Linked DNA regions of Arabidopsis thaliana. The protein of the gene in region 2 interacts with the protein of the main gene of each other region in a pairwise test. Each region holds a gene or a part of one and is shown on either strand. Other genes may lie near its edges. The genes, in order: AT3G04300 and CIPK5.

Region 1 (8,687 bases), on a different chromosome or scaffold from region 2:
GTTTTTAAACTAGTTTTTAGTTTTAATTTTTTCTAAAATCTATTTTGTAGCCATTCAAGATTTTGAAAAAACAAGTTTTCCTAAAATATAGGAAATCTAGTTTTTGAGTGTTTTAACAATTTTTCAAAGAAAACCAAAATCTATGTTTTGGGAGTTTCTCTCTCAAAAACAATCGATCACATTTTTTATTTTATTTTTAGATTTGTTTTGTAAAAAAAATACTATCCATTAACATAAAAACCAAAATCTAAACAAATTACCATTCAAGTTTTTTAAGAAACTAAAATCTACACCAAAAACAAAACCCAAGAAAATCAAAAACTAAAAACCAAAAACCAAAATCCAAAATCCAAAAACCATTTTAAAAACTACAAACATTCATGGCCTTAGGATACAGCATGCATGAATTGATCCATGATCCATGCATATTCCTTGTATATAACCATTTGAGATGATGATATTGGCTCACTCCGACAATATACCTTCTTTTTTTCACGTTCACTCTCACGAAGAGAATGACTAATATGTCATAATTAATTTGACATATTTTACCAATTACCACCATGCTGACGATGAATTGACCACATATCCCTCTTGTATATCACATATAAATGGTCAATGTCTTATAATGTAAGATATTTCTCACATATAAATGGTTAATGCACAATTCTTACAACTTACAAGTTTAGGAACGTTAAAAAAAAAATGGTACATGTTTTGTCCCCTTTGTTACCAATTACCATGTCTTCGAATTTGTTTTAATTCGGCTGGCTTGGTGTTACCAAGGAATTTTGGTTCCGGTTTGGTTTTGGTTAAATAAAAACATTGGTTTTATTTCTGTAGTTGAGGTTCGGTTTGGTTTAAGTTGGTTTAACTCTCTATCACTGTTCTTTAGCAAGGAGCGATTAAAGCGAAGAACAGAGTTTGTGGATGGGAAAGAATTGATTTTTCTGTTCGTTCTCCAGTTTTGTTCTTATGGAATGTGTTGAATGTAAACGCTAATAATCATCAGTTTGTGGATGGCGAATCTGCTGTATCTTCAGCTTTCTTCTTGCGTCGTCAGAGGCAGATTCTGTTCTCTAAACTGCGATTTTGATCTCTGCCCAAATATCGTGAGCCGCGGTTCCTTTGATTGCCGCGCCTCCCGCGGTCCTAGCTGGGAGGAGGAGCTCTTCCGCGACGAAGGTTTTGCTTCGTTTGAGTTCGGAAACCGTAAAAAGAAGAGGCCTTGGTGGCTTGATGATGATGATGACGATGACGACAACGATGATTGGATGAATGAAGAAGAAGAAGACTGGTCTATGGTTTTTGAGGTATTACTTCTTCTTTTTGGAATTTAAGAACTGTAATGTTGAATCTCACTTTAAAGTTGCTCACTTTAGATTCACAATGGTTTATGTTTAGTTGTTAGCTCTGTTTAGCCAATTTTAGAGGTTTTGTTTTAATTGCAGGTATTTAGAACATTGAGTTGGATGCTTGCACCAATTGGCATATCTTTGCTTCTTGGAACAGATTCAAACGCGGGTGTAATGGCATTAGCAGTTCCTTTAGTGCAATCTGTGTTGTCTCTTGTGGTTAGTAAAGTTTGGAGCAGGCCAAGCATTAGGTCTATGAAAAGAAGTAGAAGAGATACATTTTCGAGATCTGCGAGTGTAAGTAGTGGAAGAACAAGGAAAGCTAGGCAAGGAGGAAACATGAGGGGTGGTGTAGATAAGGGAGGATACAAGTCATGGATAGTAGGAGATGATGATTCTAACAGCATGGGTACTGGCTATGGAGGATGGGATGATCTAGATACGCTAAGGGAGATTAGAAATGACAATCCATTAAACGAGAATGTTCGTCCAAAACAACAGTTTGAAAGAAAGGCTACTCGGCGGTGGAGAGTTAAGGAGAAGCCATTGCTCTTGAGGATGCTAATTGCTGCCTTCCCTTTTTTGGGTTCATGGACCAAATTGTTGTTTTGACAAGGGATTTATCTAAGTCCTTATACACGCGGTTTGAAAAAGGACAAGAGTTTCTCTCGCGGTTGGTCGTCAAATGAATTCAATCTTCCTGGAATCATAAAGGTTAGCTTTCAATTATCTTGGAACTTAGAAGTTAGAATACACCTCTTACTTGTGATAACTATGCATATTCTGTAAGTTGAGAATATATGCCTGTCAGATTTTTGTTTCTATAAATACAAACGTGTAATAGTTCTTGTTTTGTACAGCCTAATTAGTATCTTCATTTTTTATATAACCAGCACTAATAATTGGTGATGGCGTACCAGATGCTGCTGCTACTGTTTCTTTAGTATGTGAGATTTAAGATTACATACTCTTCTACTTTATCTAGTCAGGTAGCAATACTGCTAGAATATATGCTTTCACATTTATTTGCTTCACATGTTATATTTAAACATTCAAAGGGTTCTTTATTTGTTTTTATTAGTGATAGGAACCAATGGCCTCATGATAAGAATCTTTGATAAAGACTATTTTAAGAGTAAAGAACAATATCAGTTAATAGGGAATCCTTCATTTAGCAAGTTTCTTTAGTACGAAACAGGAGTTCATATCTCTGCTTTACGCGTGATTTGATCTACTGTTTTCCAGATAAACAGAAGTTTCAAAGTGAAACGAATATTGGCATGTGCCGATTGTTTGTTCTATGAGAAACAAAGAAGTTACATCTGAAAACATAATCTAGGAAGGGCTTTACACGTATCCTAAGCATTATCTTTTTGGTTTCTCTTCTATATTTTATTGTCTGAATATAGAGTCTTTTATGCTTCGTGGTGATAAAGACTAACCCAAAACTAGATTGTAGTTAGGAAAAATTATGGAGAAGTAGGAGGATCGAACTTGTAGTGTTTGTCTATGAAAAGTGATACATCCCAAGTGCAGCTAAGTCCCTTGGGGATGGTCACAAGGTCTCCTGCACCAAACTCTACAAACTCAGATGACCCTTTTGGATACACCTTCACCTTTCCCTTCACCAAATAGCATGTCTCTCTTTCTTCAAATACCAATGCATATTTCCCCGGCTGACAAGACCATCTGTTTTGTCAGAGAGATTCATCATGTTATTACCAATAAATTGAGGAATGGAAAAAGTGAAAATCTATGTAGTTAGTAGTAATAGGAGCAGAGCATGTGCATGTTTGATACTTACTTAGGCCATGACATGACTCCAAGGTCAGATAACCTTCTGCTCGAAGGGTTGTTTTCGATTACAATATTCATTTTGGAAGAGGAATAAGGTGAGAATTCGACGATGTTTCAATGTTATTAGATAGAACAGAAAGAAACAGTGAGAACAAAGATAAGAAGAAAGTAGGTATATGAGATGTATTTATATGGTGAAGGACGGAGTAGTTGGTCTGCATGTGTATGTATTTATAAAACCAGGTATGAATAAAGTGACTTCTTCTTTTTTCCCTTCTATTGAAAGGGATAATAGGAGAGAGGAGGAATCTTTAAAGAAACACTTTGACCCAGGATAGATACAAAACCAAGTCAACAAATACATTCATTAAGCTTATTGTGTTAGATAGTCCTTCTAGAAGTGGTTCATACTACAAATTCTCTGGTTTTCTATTTTTCTTGATTGCATTAATCTGATTAAGAAAGTTTCTCCTCTAGAAGGCAAAATGCTGAGCTAGTCTCTCAACAAGCTTTAATGATCTATCCAGATCAAGTCTCCAACCACATGGACCCCTTCTGTTTTGTCCCCGCGTCCACTATGCTTTCCTTTTCACAGTGTTAACGAGTCTTCTGAGCTGAAACTCAGACACAAGTCTCCGGACAATGTAGCCACCATGTGAATTCTGCAGTGATCAAGTGGGTACACTCGAGAGGATTAATATAGGATCTAACTTTTTTCAGCTGTTTTATGCACTATTAGTCTAGATTTGTGTAGCTTGAGGATCAGTTATTCAGCTGTTGCGATCGCACTATTAATCTGGTATCTGGATTTGTGTAGTTTTGAGATCAGTTACACAGTAACTAATCGATAGTTATTCTGTGAAGAGTATTCATATCTTCAGTGTATTTGTTATATGGTTTTGGTTTTTAGTTTCGAAAATGTTTGACTGATTCTTCATTAGAAGATACGTGATAATTCCGGACATTGATTTGTGTAGCCCCCTCAAGTTTGGCTGCTTCCTCAACTGGCTCTGCTTGTTTTTTTTTTTATTCTAACATGCCATGGCATGTGAGGATTATTGGTTGTTTCTAGTATATATGTATCTCCTAATATATGCATGCATAAATTCACATATCCTCAAATTTGAATGCTAGTATATTTGCAATTTTCTGTCTCTGTAGTATGAACAAGTGATAAAGAATGGCAGATAGGTTCAGAATGAAAAAAAAAAAAAAAAAAAAAAAAACTCCATGTGAACACCCTTGTGAATTTGAGAACAGGGTCTTGCTTTGGTTTGGTCTGGTCATATTTCCACACATCGAAAACCTTTACTCTCAGATCTCGAAGAAAGTTTGTACACAAAAGCTTGGTGTTTTACTGAGTTCCTAATTTTCCACTTACATTTCCAAGGAAGTTGACAATTTTCTACATCGGACATGTTTGGGATCAGTGGTAAATTAAATCCTAATGATCTTAAAATCAACAGCTTTTGTTTTGGGAATAAGTTAAAATTTCAGGGTAATAATCTATTCATCTGTATGATCTTATAAGCTTGATTTTATTTATCATTTATAACTAGAGCTACACTCTTGTTTATCTAATCAAATACAAATCTCAAAGGTATGGTGTATATAGGAAATATTCGAACTCAATCCTTTATTTTTAGGTTCAAGCACCCAAACATTGCCGTATCAAACCAATACACATGAAAAGCCAACTAAAAATTTGGTTTGTCTAAACATAACAAATTTGAACTTTCACTAATTAGATGCTTTGAAAAGTGAAGTATAGATATAAACAACTCAAAAGTGTAGGATATATAATTCCACTCTAAACACTTGCATGACCAAAAGTTTTTAAGATCTAGGGTCACGAATTTTGGCTGCAAAAGGAATTGAGGATTTTGACACCAAAACAAAGGAATTAAGGATACTTCATAGAACAAAAAGAAAAGATACTCACTAGTTACGAATGCACAGAAAAGTAAATATAAGTAATTATTATTAATTCAGGTTTACTTCTGGTTCGGTTTAAGGTTTATAAAGAGTAGAAGTAGATGATCTCTGGCGAGGTATCATTTGGAAAAGGAAAGAAACGAATTCGATTCAGTTTTAGACTAATCTAGTTGGGTTGATTAACCAGTGCTGGATCACAATGCAAAGGAGCTTGGAATCGATCTTCTCTCCAGAATTCCATTGTGTTAGAATGCTCCAATTCTGTTTGGTTTAACCAAACCAAAGTCGAATTGATTCGGAAACTTTGTTGAATTTTAATGAGCTTTTCAAATTCATTCTCATGGGTCAAGTTTGTTGATCATTTGGGCTTGTGAGATGTTTGTGGAGTCCTAACGCAAGCAGAGAGCCCAAAACAAAACCATGATTTTCCATAGTGGTACAGTGAAGTTTTTATTTTGGGCCATTCTGTTTCTTTGATATAATTTTATATTTAAAAAGTCTATTTTCTTCTACAGAAAAACTTTGTGTTGGTTGGTTTTTGTTTACGGATAGACATCATTTAATTTTACTGTATAACTTTACGAATAAAGACACTGATATATTTTCACCTTTATGGTAACGAATTTTATCAAAAAAAAGAAGAAAAAAAAGTAACTAATTAAATAGCCGGAAAAGGTTGGTATGATTTGGAGATGATATTTTACGTTTTTTTTTTAATGTATTTTTCAAAAAATCAAAATTCATAAATCATGATGCAGTCGGACAGGGTAGCTTCATCATGTTAATTTATGACGTGAGTTGGTTGAGTTGGTAGATCTCTTAATTTCACTTCTATCTCTCTCTCTCCAATAATTTTATTTATACAGAAAATTACTTAGTAGTATAAAAATCAAGACAAATGAAAAGTCTTCTTTTGATCATTCTTGAGTAATTAGTGGAATGTATTCTGAATTATCCATTTATGCATCGTAATTTGTTAAGTCAACATTTTCAAGTCTCATGTATTAACAAACATAAGGTGTATATGATTAATTAACAAGTAGTATAATTGCTCTTTTACCAATTTCATGAAAACATCAAATGGTTTGTGTAATTTTATCCTAGAAAATATCAAGCATAACCCGCATTTCAAGAAAACAAATTAAAATACATTTTATAATTACACACCAACCAAATTGAACAACACTCCTACTATAAAATACATCAAGATTTTCAAAAAGTATGGTATTGAACACGACCCATTACATTGACATCAATGGCTCTAATTGTTATATACACCTTCTTTTTTTTTTTGAATGCTTTTCTCTTTCTTTCTGGATGCTTTATTTATGTAATATTCCAGCTTTGAAAATTCGTAGGTAGTACGCGTTAATGTGATAACGTTCAAAGGGGAGGCATAGTTGGACAGAAAAAGTTTATCCAAAAATATATATTTAACCAATTGAACTTCTCGTAATTGAACATTTAGATGGCATGAGTTTGACATTGTATAAATCTTAGTGAAGTCTAGTTTAAATTTATCCATCCATCAGCTGATGGAAACATTTTTAGTTTTCAATATTAAATATTATGTCATGTAAAACCCATGACAAAAAAAGGAGAGGATATGATTGATGAGCCGCCTAAATTCACGTATGTTACGTTAACTATATAGCATATAGATATTTCACATATTAACCAAGTAGTTCGAAATGGATGGGTTATACAATATGGTTTCTTTGGGGACCGTCCGGTCACTGCATCTCGATTTGTGACATTGGATATAAACACAAAACTACACAAAAATGGAGATGAAGAACGGTAAAGATTAGTTTCTTTGGATCGATATACATATACCTAATCACTTCAAAATTTACACGTAGATTGCAGACATTGAGATCAGTAACCGTCAATCAAAAAAATTATGTCACATCGAATTTCAATGGTTGAAAGATAATTCCATTTTAGGAGAACAAGCAGTAGTACAATTTCTAACATTTATTACATCCAAACAACAAACAAGACCAATTTTTATGGTGTATCAGTTGGCAGCCTCTATTAATGTCTCTATTTTCTTAAAATCACACCAACAACGAAAAAAAAAAAAAAAAAAAAACAGATACACATTACTTATTGAACCCTAAACCTATTGTCAGTGTATATATATAACACACACTCTCCATATGCTCTCATATCATACGTCAATTTATAAACGTTTCTTCTCATTCGTCATCTAGTCCCATTCTCTGTCCATAACAATGAATATCAATTGTTCTCCATTAGGGTTTCTAATTTCACTCTTCTTCATTGTTACTTTTCTTGCACCACAAGTCAAATCTAGGGCTTTCTTTGTCTTTGGTGACTCTCTCGTCGACAATGGAAACAACGACTACCTCGTCACCACTGCCCGTGCCGACAATTACCCGTATGGTATCGACTACCCGACCCGTAGACCCACCGGACGTTTCTCTAACGGCCTTAACATTCCCGACATTATCAGTAAGCATATTTGATTCAAGCATGGTTATACGATATAATGGTTCGTTAATCAATCTTTAATGTTTGTTTAATATGTCTCTCTCTCTACTAGGTGAGGCTATAGGCATGCCGTCGACTTTGCCGTACCTTAGCCCGCATCTCACCGGAGAAAATCTTCTAGTCGGTGCTAATTTTGCCTCCGCAGGAATTGGAATCCTCAACGACACTGGAATTCAATTCGTAAGCATATCCAATCAATTTTAAAATTCTTGCATTAAATACGCATTCAAGTGTTGCTGATATTAATGCACGACACGACAAGACGTGTTTACCCTCTCCATTAACTCTCGTGTCGAGGGTAATATTGCCTCAGAAGTAAGAAAACGAAAAAAAAAATACACATAAGATCATCCTCAATAACTGAGGGTATATTCGTCTTCTTGACATGTTACTCCGCGAAAACTCAAAAACACGTGATTGACAACATTATCCTTGATTTCTCAATGAAAACCAGTGTTAACACGAAGGTTAATTTAGTCTTCTCACTAATATTTTGATGACGTGACTTTTTAGTTCAACCGCTGTCGATTCACTGCTTGTAATTTTCTAAACGCAGTCGTTTGATAGCTTAGTGTGTTAATTATGTTTTTTGTTTTTGCAGGTAAACATAATTAGAATTTCTAAACAGATGGAATACTTCGAACAGTACCAGCTACGAGTGAGTGCATTGATCGGACCAGAAGCTACACAACAGCTAGTTAACCAAGCTCTTGTCCTAATTACACTCGGTGGTAATGATTTCGTCAACAATTATTATCTAATTCCGTTTTCAGCTCGTTCTCGCCAATACGCGTTACCAGACTACGTTGTGTATCTCATTTCCGAATACGGAAAGATTCTCAGAGTAAGTTTAAAAAATTATATATTGTCTTCTTTTTAACGTATATATACTAAATTTGTACATATGTCATGTAACAAATTGGGGGCTTACCACGAAATAACCTTAAATCATGCAATCTTGTACTAATTTTTGCTACAATACCATTTAGTTTATTAACTTGTTGCCTCACTAAAGGAAATTGCATTTAATATGTGAACTCTCAAATAATTACTTTCGTTATGTCACTACGTACATAGTTAATG
Region 2 (9,004 bases):
AATTTCGATGGAACATTTGGAAAGTTATTGATATCCTCTGAGATTTCAAATGGATATGCTATTATGTGGCCCTTTTAAAAATTGGATTAAGGATGATGGATGTGTTAGCCCACCAGTTTTTTGCTTACCTTTTGTTATTTACATTTGTACTGCCAATCTGTACTTCACCACTTAGTTTAGAAATATTTTTCTTTGCTAGTTATCTTGTTTTAGGCACCTTTTCGCATTGAAAATGTCAGTTTTCCTAACATTTTGGTACTTTGACTTAAGCTCAATATATGATGATTCATTCCTTTGTTTGTGACTTGTAGGCACTGGAATCATGCAATACACACCAGGAGATGTAGATAACTTGTTTTCTTTCAGTAACAACCTCCACGATGTAGAATCTCCACCTCAGGTTTCCACCACTCCTCAAAATGGCTTTCACAGAAGTAGCAATGCTGCAACGGTTCGCACCTCCCTCTGTAATTGTTCCATATGGTGACCTTGTCATTCCATATTCTTAGTGCATCTGACGCCGTTCTTTTCAGGTTAAGAAGTGTACGGAATTGGTAGAAATTGCTAAATGGTCTTTAGAAGAGGGTACAGATGTTTTCTATGCAATTGAGGCAGCTAATGAAGTTCTGGATGCTCATTCTAATGATATTGAGTCTGCGCTAAGGCATGAATGCCTTTGTACTCGTGCCGCATTGTTACTCAAGGTCCTTTAGAACTGGTGTCTATAACTAGCTTGAATCCCTACATTACTCCTCTCTAATAACCATAATCAGCTGATTTGTTTATTTTTCAGAGGAAGTGGAAGAATGATGCTCATATGGCCGTAAGAGATTGCCATAATGCTCGGAGAATTGATGCTTCATCCTTTAAAGCTCATTACTACATGTCTGAAGCGCTGCAGCAAGTAAATTCATAGCTCTGATCACAGTTAATTTTAAGTTTACTATTTGACATAGAGATGGTTCTGCAATAAGCATTTATTTTAGTCACCCTTCCATTTCATATACATATGTGCTTTCACGCAGTTGGGAAAATGTAAAGAAGCTCTAGATTTTGCGACTGCTGCACAACATATGAACCCATCAGATGCCGATATAGTGGCAAAAGTGGAGAGCATTAAAAGGGATCTTCAAGCAGGTTTGTGCCAACTGATGTATGTCTTTTCCTGCAGGTTTGCTTAGTAACAGATGTTATCTACTTTCCTGCTGTTTCTGTTTTCCTCTATGAGCTAGGATAGAGGTTCAAGATGTTTCTGCTTAGATGTTTTTGTTTTTTGTTTTTTTAGGCTCTTCAATGAGTTATAACCACTCGTTTCTAGTAATCAATGTGGACACATGAGAGAAAATCTTAAGCATAGATTCGTAGTATCATCTTTAAGTCCATCTGGCTTCTCTTTCTACATCTAATTTTGTTGGTTAATATGTCTGATATTTCTTTTGATTCAAAAGTGTATCAAAGTAACAGATGTAGAGCTATTCTTTTAGATTTGGTGGATTCTTTCATTCCCAAGGAGTATTAATGTGCTTAGAAGCTTTCATGATTCAACAGGCAAGGGAATTTATATTCACATTTTAATATTCTTGTACTTGTCTTTTGTTTGACAAATCAGCTGGAGCTGAGAAAAACGAAGAGACAGGAGCTGGAACTACTAGAGTACTTTCTTTAAGCGACATACTATATAGATCAGAGGCCAACAGTGACAGTTCACATGATATGTCGAGATCCGAAAGAGAAGATTCTGATTATGATGAGGAATTGGAGTTGGATATTCAAACTTCGTTGTCTGATGATGAAGGACGAGATACAGACTCAAATTCTATGCGTGGCAGTCTCAACTTACGAATTCATAGAGTAGGTGATGATAAACCGATGGAAAATACAGTTGACAATGCCTCCTCAGGAACTGCATCGTCATCTCAAAATGATAGGACGTCTTATCAGGTTAGTTCTAAGATTATGGTATTGTTATTTATTTTAAAGCAAAACAAATTTAACACATTGAATACGTTTTAAGTTAGTACTTGACTTCTTTTATGCTGCGTCATACTTTTACCTAATTTGATGGATACCTTTTACACCAATGGTTTTTTGGTGATTATAGCCAGAGGGAGCCATTGATATGAAACGTAGATATGTTGGCCACTGTAACGTAGGAACTGATATTAAGCAGGCCAGTTTTCTTGGTCAGAGAGGTAAGTTTCTTGGGGTTGCAACTTTCATGTTATCTGAGTGCAATTTTCCATTCTAGTAGAAAAAGCGGTTTATAAAATTTGAAATTCAATACGGTATCGACTTTCTGTGAACATTTTATTACCAAATTTCAGGTGAATATATTGCAAGTGGAAGCGATGACGGTCGGTGGTTTATATGGGAGAAACAGACTGGAAGGCTTATGAAAGTGCTCGTTGGCGATGAATCAGGTGATCTTTTTTCCTTTCACATTTTATCCATTACATAAGTATCTTTTTTTTTCATTGAATTTCGAGTTGGCTAAAAGAATCATCTTTCGTCTCTAGTTTTGAACTGCATTCAATGCCATCCGTTTGATAGTGTTGTAGCAACGAGTGGAATTGATAACACAATAAAGGTAAGCAGGCACACAAAGCTGTCTTCAGGGTTTGGTTTTCATTTCGTGTAAGATCTCTAAAACTAACATTTGCATGTAAAAATATGTGTACAGATATGGAGCCCAACCGCATCAGTCCCATCAATTGTAGCAGGAGGATCAGCTGGACCAGCAACCGCCAATGTAGTGGAAGTAATGGAGAGTAATCAACAGAAGCTAAGCCGCAATCGAGAGAATCCTCTGTAAGTTTTCTGGGATAGGTGGTTTGAGTTAATATAAAAGCTCCAAGGCGGTTTCAGAGTACACAAAATGGGTTTGATGATTTGGTACATTGATGATTCATTTGCAGGTCTGTGGAGCTAATGCAAAGGTTTAGGATGCAAGAATTTGCAGAAGGAAACTTTCACCCATTTGAATGTACTCAGAGCTAAAGCAGGAGGGAACTGTAGAGGTATAATAAGCTTGCTTTGTGAAGGTGATGGTGGAATAACAATGGTTTTGAATATGAATAATGAATAATAAGGTTTGATTAGGTTTCATATGTAGCAAAAGCTTTCTCTCTGTAAAACTCATGCATAGCTTCCTTCTAAAAGCTTTTTTTGTTGTTGTTGTTGTTGTTGTACAGTTTGATATTGGCTTCTTCTTTTGAATGTGAATATTCATCGTTATTTTACATTGTTTTTTCATTTCTGTCGCGTTTAGTAGACAGCATAAGGCTGTATGTGTTATGTGTCCAATCTCGTTATTTTAATATAGACTTGTGGAGGAAGCTCTAACCACTTTGCTGCTTTAATTAATCTTGTCTAGTGTAAACTTTTTTACCTATTTATATATTGCTGCTGGGGGCACTTGCCTCCACAAGCCATAACGTGGGTCTGCCCCTGACTTTAGTATGTATTTGGACAAGGTATGCTTCTATTTGGACTAATCCCGCATACGTGTTTTTTTGTATACAATTATTAGTTATATTTTTATGGTGTTATTAATGGTTAGTAAAGTAGTCTAATTCCTGATCAGTAGACTAGATCCTAAAACATTCCTTGGTGGAACACAATAGATCTCCCTACTTTGAAGATAGTGACATGACATCCCTAAATAACGATTAGCTAGCCGTGCATTAAGTTTTGGCTAATAATCTTTTATCTTTTGATGATAAAAATGGAATTGAGCTATATGATTTAGAAACAAATTAATATTGTAAATGATTTTGAATTTTTGTTTTTAAAAAAAAATGGATATGTTAATTAGAATTTTCATGGTCTACTCACCAGAAACTTGATTTGTATGCTAGTTTATGAAATGATTTTAAAATAATTTAAATTTTTTATACGAAAGGTTGGGTGGAACCACCACATAAGATAAGGGGGACAAAAAGCATTAGACCGTTGGAGAGAATTATTGACATTATTTTAAGGAAGTTCTGTCAATAATTGATTACCTATTCCTTTTTCTCCGACGATATTTATTCGTGAAAAAGTAAAATTTAATAGAATTATAGAAAATCATAGCATTCAAACAGCATAATCTTATTTGATGATAACATAATCTAAAGTTTAGGTTATGTTATTTACACATACTGTGTTATATTTACCTATTTAAATTGCCTATTTCCTTTGACGTTGATTATTATTTTGACACTGTTTTATTTTCTTCTAGAAATTGGTGTATTGTAAAATAATAGAAAATTTTAAGTGTTACGTTATACAAAAATGATTTAACATTATAAGGTAATAGAGAATATTAAAAAAAAAAAAAACATACATATGACCCCCAAAGTCTTAGAAATAATTGTTAGCATCTAGTTTTGTCCAAGTAATTAACAAATTAAGAAAGGAAAAAACACAAGAGACATTGTTCTGAATGTTGTTCTTAAGAATAAAATCTAGCAAACAATATGCCGTGTGTAGAAATATAGAAGGTTATACAAAATTCTTTATGTACAACACTATAACAAAACAAAAACAAAATCTAGTACCCATAATTTTTTTAACTGCAAACAATATGTTTTAAATGATGACCATTTTTTTTTTTTTTTTTTTTTTGTAAAAAAAACTTATTTTCCATATAAAAAACAAATTCCAAAGAAAAAGTAAAGTTATTGCAGTGTGACATGTGTGACTTTGTGAGTGGCTTATCACCTTGTCTATAAATTCAAAGAGTGTTCAGTATATAATAAGAGGACACCACGTAGCTGCGTTTGTGATTCATTTGCACACTTCTTCTTCTTCTTCCTCATTTCTCTTCCTCTCCCATATTCCATGGAATTGCTCTACTTCTTCACCTATGAGAGTAATATATCCTCATGTACTCAAAATACTAATCAAACTTCATGCTTCAACACCACCTTTTCTTAATCCTCCTTCTTCATCTTCTTCTTCCACTATTTCATTTTCCCTAGTCGGTGTAAATATCAAATGGAGGAAGAACGGCGAGTTCTGTTCGGAAAGTACGAGATGGGAAGGTTATTAGGCAAAGGAACCTTCGCCAAAGTCTATTACGGCAAAGAGATCATCGGCGGCGAGTGCGTCGCAATCAAAGTCATCAACAAGGATCAAGTAATGAAGAGACCTGGAATGATGGAACAAATCAAACGCGAGATTTCAATCATGAAGCTCGTTCGTCATCCCAACATAGTTGAATTGAAAGAAGTCATGGCTACGAAGACCAAGATCTTCTTCGTCATGGAGTTCGTTAAAGGCGGCGAGCTTTTCTGCAAAATCTCTAAAGGTAAGTTACACGAAGACGCTGCTCGTAGATATTTCCAGCAATTGATCTCAGCCGTTGATTATTGCCATAGTAGAGGCGTTTCTCATCGCGATCTGAAACCTGAGAATCTTCTTTTAGATGAGAATGGAGATTTGAAAATCTCCGATTTCGGATTATCTGCGTTACCGGAACAGATTCTTCAAGACGGATTGCTTCATACGCAGTGTGGAACTCCGGCGTATGTTGCGCCGGAGGTATTAAAGAAGAAAGGATACGACGGCGCGAAAGCTGATATCTGGTCGTGCGGCGTCGTTTTGTATGTTCTTCTCGCCGGATGTTTGCCGTTTCAAGATGAGAATCTGATGAATATGTATCGGAAGATTTTCAGAGCGGATTTTGAATTTCCGCCGTGGTTTTCTCCGGAAGCGAGGAGGTTGATTTCGAAACTCCTCGTTGTAGATCCAGATCGACGGATCTCGATTCCGGCGATTATGAGAACGCCTTGGCTCCGGAAAAACTTCACTCCGCCGTTAGCTTTCAAAATCGACGAACCGATTTGTTCTCAAAGCAGCAAAAACAACGAAGAAGAAGAAGAAGACGGAGATTGTGAAAATCAAACAGAGCCGATATCGCCGAAATTCTTCAACGCTTTCGAATTCATATCCTCGATGTCTTCCGGATTTGACTTATCGAGCTTGTTCGAGAGCAAGAGGAAAGTGCAATCGGTGTTTACGTCACGGTCGTCGGCGACGGAGGTAATGGAGAAGATAGAAACGGTTACGAAGGAGATGAACATGAAAGTGAAGAGAACGAAGGATTTTAAAGTGAAGATGGAAGGGAAAACGGAAGGGAGAAAAGGACGGTTGTCGATGACGGCGGAAGTGTTTGAAGTAGCGCCGGAGATATCGGTGGTGGAGTTTTGCAAATCGGCGGGAGATACTTTGGAGTACGATAGGTTATACGAAGAAGAAGTACGGCCGGCGTTAAACGACATCGTCTGGTCATGGCACGGTGATAATAATAACACTTCTTCCGAGGATTGTTGAATCAGTAGTTTTTGGTTCTGATTTAACCGGTTATCGGTTAACGTAGTATAACTAAGAACTGTTACATTGAACCCAAATTTTCTTTGGTTTAATAAAATTTTGGTTTTACTTCTTTTTCTTTGGTAAGGATTTTGATTTTGCTTCTAATTGAACCTAATTGTGTTGTTTTTAGGTACAAATGAATAAATAATTTGGGTTCAGATTAAATTAATCGACAATTAAGGGTATGTTAAGTCGAAAACGAAAATGACTATGAGTCGGGTTGTGGTTTAGAAGACCGACACGTGTGGTTTCTCAGAGACTTCGAAAAGATTCACCTTCTGTTATGAAGTCAAATCATTTGAATTTTGAAGTTCAAATAGTTAGTGGAGAGGACAAAGTCACAACAAATTAATTTATTTATGGGATCCGACGACTTTTTTTCATTAGTTTTCTTCTACATGTCCAACTTTGAATTGTAGCTGGGCATGATCGTAAGATAGAAGATTAGATGTGATTGATGGGATGAAGATAATGCTAATCTGAATTTTCTGCATAAATGAGTATGTTTATGTGTATTCAGTCTATCAAAATTACCCATTTCATACCATATGTTTACTATCATATTTTGTAATTTTTTTAGAAGCATAATAATGTAATAACCTAAAGAACAAAAAATATCGACTACATCATGCAAGAAGTTTCGAAGAAACCCAATCCTGTAAGAATTAATGGCGTATAAGTTATACTAAGTGAAAGAAAAATCCCCCAAAAAGTTAAAATGGATACAGACAAAAACAAGGATTAAAAGATAACAAGAGTAATGAGGTTCACCAGTAAACTCAATCCATTAAGAAAGAAATGGAGCTTTCACCATAATTAATATCCGACCAATAATCTAAAAAAAGGATCAATCAGTGGCTAACATGGGATTTTAGGACAAGGGTTGTGTCACAGTCAGAAAGTGACTCCACCAACATCAAATGGATAGTATTAAATCGAGTGTTTTTTGTTAAGATTAGATTTAACTATTTTAGGAGAAGAGAAACACCAATGAGGTTATTACTGGTACGTATTTGTGTCACTTTATGTTTGGTCATAATAAAATGGAGGATGACATTTTGTTTGGAACATAAAAAGGATATTGTAAGTTGTAACAGATGTTGCACCTCCTAAGGAAGAGGGTGTGTCATGTCATGTGTGGTCCTCCCCCATGTTCAAAAAAAATCACATCCAAATGCAATCCACTAGTTTTTGTTGTTGTATTTCTGAACAATAATTGGGTTTGAAAAAGAAGAAAACAAAAATTCAAAAAACTCAAATGAAAATTGAAGTCTGCATTGACAAAGTATTCTTGAAATTTAAAGACATGTTCAAATCACAACCTAACTCCAATGCACTTCCCTTGATCCAACTTCTTAAGCTTTGGGCAAATATCCACAAGTTTGGAGTTAATCTTCTTCTCATTGTAGAATATAAAAAGATTGATATTGTAGAGAGCATTGAAATGAGAAGAATACCAAACTCTTCCACATTATCTCGATTTCAAATATTACAAAACTTATTTTGTTTGTGGGTCTTCTCAAACCGCTGCAACATGTTGCTTGAAATCTTCCTGGTATTAACGACAAAAATCCTCAATAAATATGAAAATTACACAAACGTCATCAAATCTTTTGCTAATGGTTTGGTCCGGATCAGGTGGAAGTAATGTTGAGCTTGTTGACCCAGTAGCCAAGTTGCTCAGCAACACAGTTTGATCCTGTTGACCCATAGGAACTGAACTTATTGACTGAATTTTCAACCCCCAAAAATCCAAACACATCTTCTTCAAACACAGGGCTCAGCTTTTTCATCTCTTCAAGACTTAAGTTCTGAAGTTCACAGCCTTTTGAGACGCAAACTCCAACTAGTTTTCCAACTATGTCATGAGATGACCTAAAAGGCATCCCCTGGGAAATCAAAAAACCAAAACAGTATTTATCTTTCTGACTTCAGTTACAAAAATGGAAGATATGATAAATAAAAACCACATTACCTTCTTCACAAGATAATCAGCGAGAGTAGTCGCATCAAGATGTCCTGCGGGAAGACTTTTCTTGATTCTGTCTTCGTTGAATGTAACATTCTGAGCAAATTCTGCAGATACATCGATCATTCCCATTATTGTCTTGGTACTATCGAACATCGGCTCTTTGTCTTCTTGAAAATCTCTGTTGTAAGCAAGGGGAAGTCCTTTGCACAGTGTTAAGACAGTGACCAGATCGCCTATGACTCTTGCGGATTTTCCTCTGACAAGTTCCATTGGGTCTGGATTTTTCTTCTGTGGCATTATACTACTTCCGGTTGACACAGAATCACTTGGAGTCATGAACCCAAACTCCTCGGAAGCCCACAGTACCCACTCTTCTCCAAGCCGTGATAAATGAATACCGGTGTTGGCATTTGTATATAAGAACTCCAGCACGAAGTCTCGGTCTGAGACTGCATCGATACTAGTTGAAACAGAGGAGAAAAGAGTTAATAAATGAGAAACCATAAAACAAAAGAGAAAGACATATAATTAGAGAGAGTTGATGCAACCAATATAAGAACTAGGAACATACCTGTTTCTCATTGGTTCGGTAAATCCAAGAGCATTTGCAGTCATAAACCTATCAATAGGCAGACCAGTTCCAGCCAAAGCACAAGCTCCCAGGGGGGAGAA

The links.
Region 1: the proteins of CIPK5 (region 2) and AT3G04300 interact in a two-hybrid assay, tested with the Arabidopsis thaliana proteins (one large-scale study listed by BioGRID).

What each region holds. Positions count from the first base shown.
Region 1 is NC_003074.8:1,134,861-1,143,547, reverse strand, and holds AT3G04300 (RmlC-like cupins superfamily protein), read right to left. Parts: upstream 3,420-8,687; 5' UTR 3,231-3,419; coding exon 3,160-3,230; intron 3,045-3,159; coding exon 2,825-3,044; 3' UTR 2,488-2,824; downstream 1-2,487. Other genes in the region: AT3G04310 (uncharacterized protein), read left to right, coding at 1,020-1,313, 1,452-1,967; LTL1 (Li-tolerant lipase 1), read left to right, coding at 7,325-7,565, 7,657-7,784, 8,206-8,448.
Region 2 is NC_003076.8:3,442,883-3,451,886, reverse strand, and holds CIPK5 (CBL-interacting protein kinase 5), read left to right. Parts: upstream 1-4,608; 5' UTR 4,609-4,980; coding exon 4,981-6,318; 3' UTR 6,319-6,858; downstream 6,859-9,004. Other genes in the region: ASG2 (transducin family protein / WD-40 repeat family protein), read left to right, coding at 312-451, 534-704, 794-904, 1,026-1,137, 1,610-1,941, 2,102-2,192, 2,325-2,420, 2,517-2,587 and 2 more; AT5G10920 (L-Aspartase-like family protein), read right to left, coding at 7,995-8,249, 8,336-8,792, 8,904-9,004. UniProt on the Arabidopsis thaliana protein: CIPK serine-threonine protein kinases interact with CBL proteins. Binding of a CBL protein to the regulatory NAF domain of CIPK protein lead to the activation of the kinase in a calcium-dependent manner.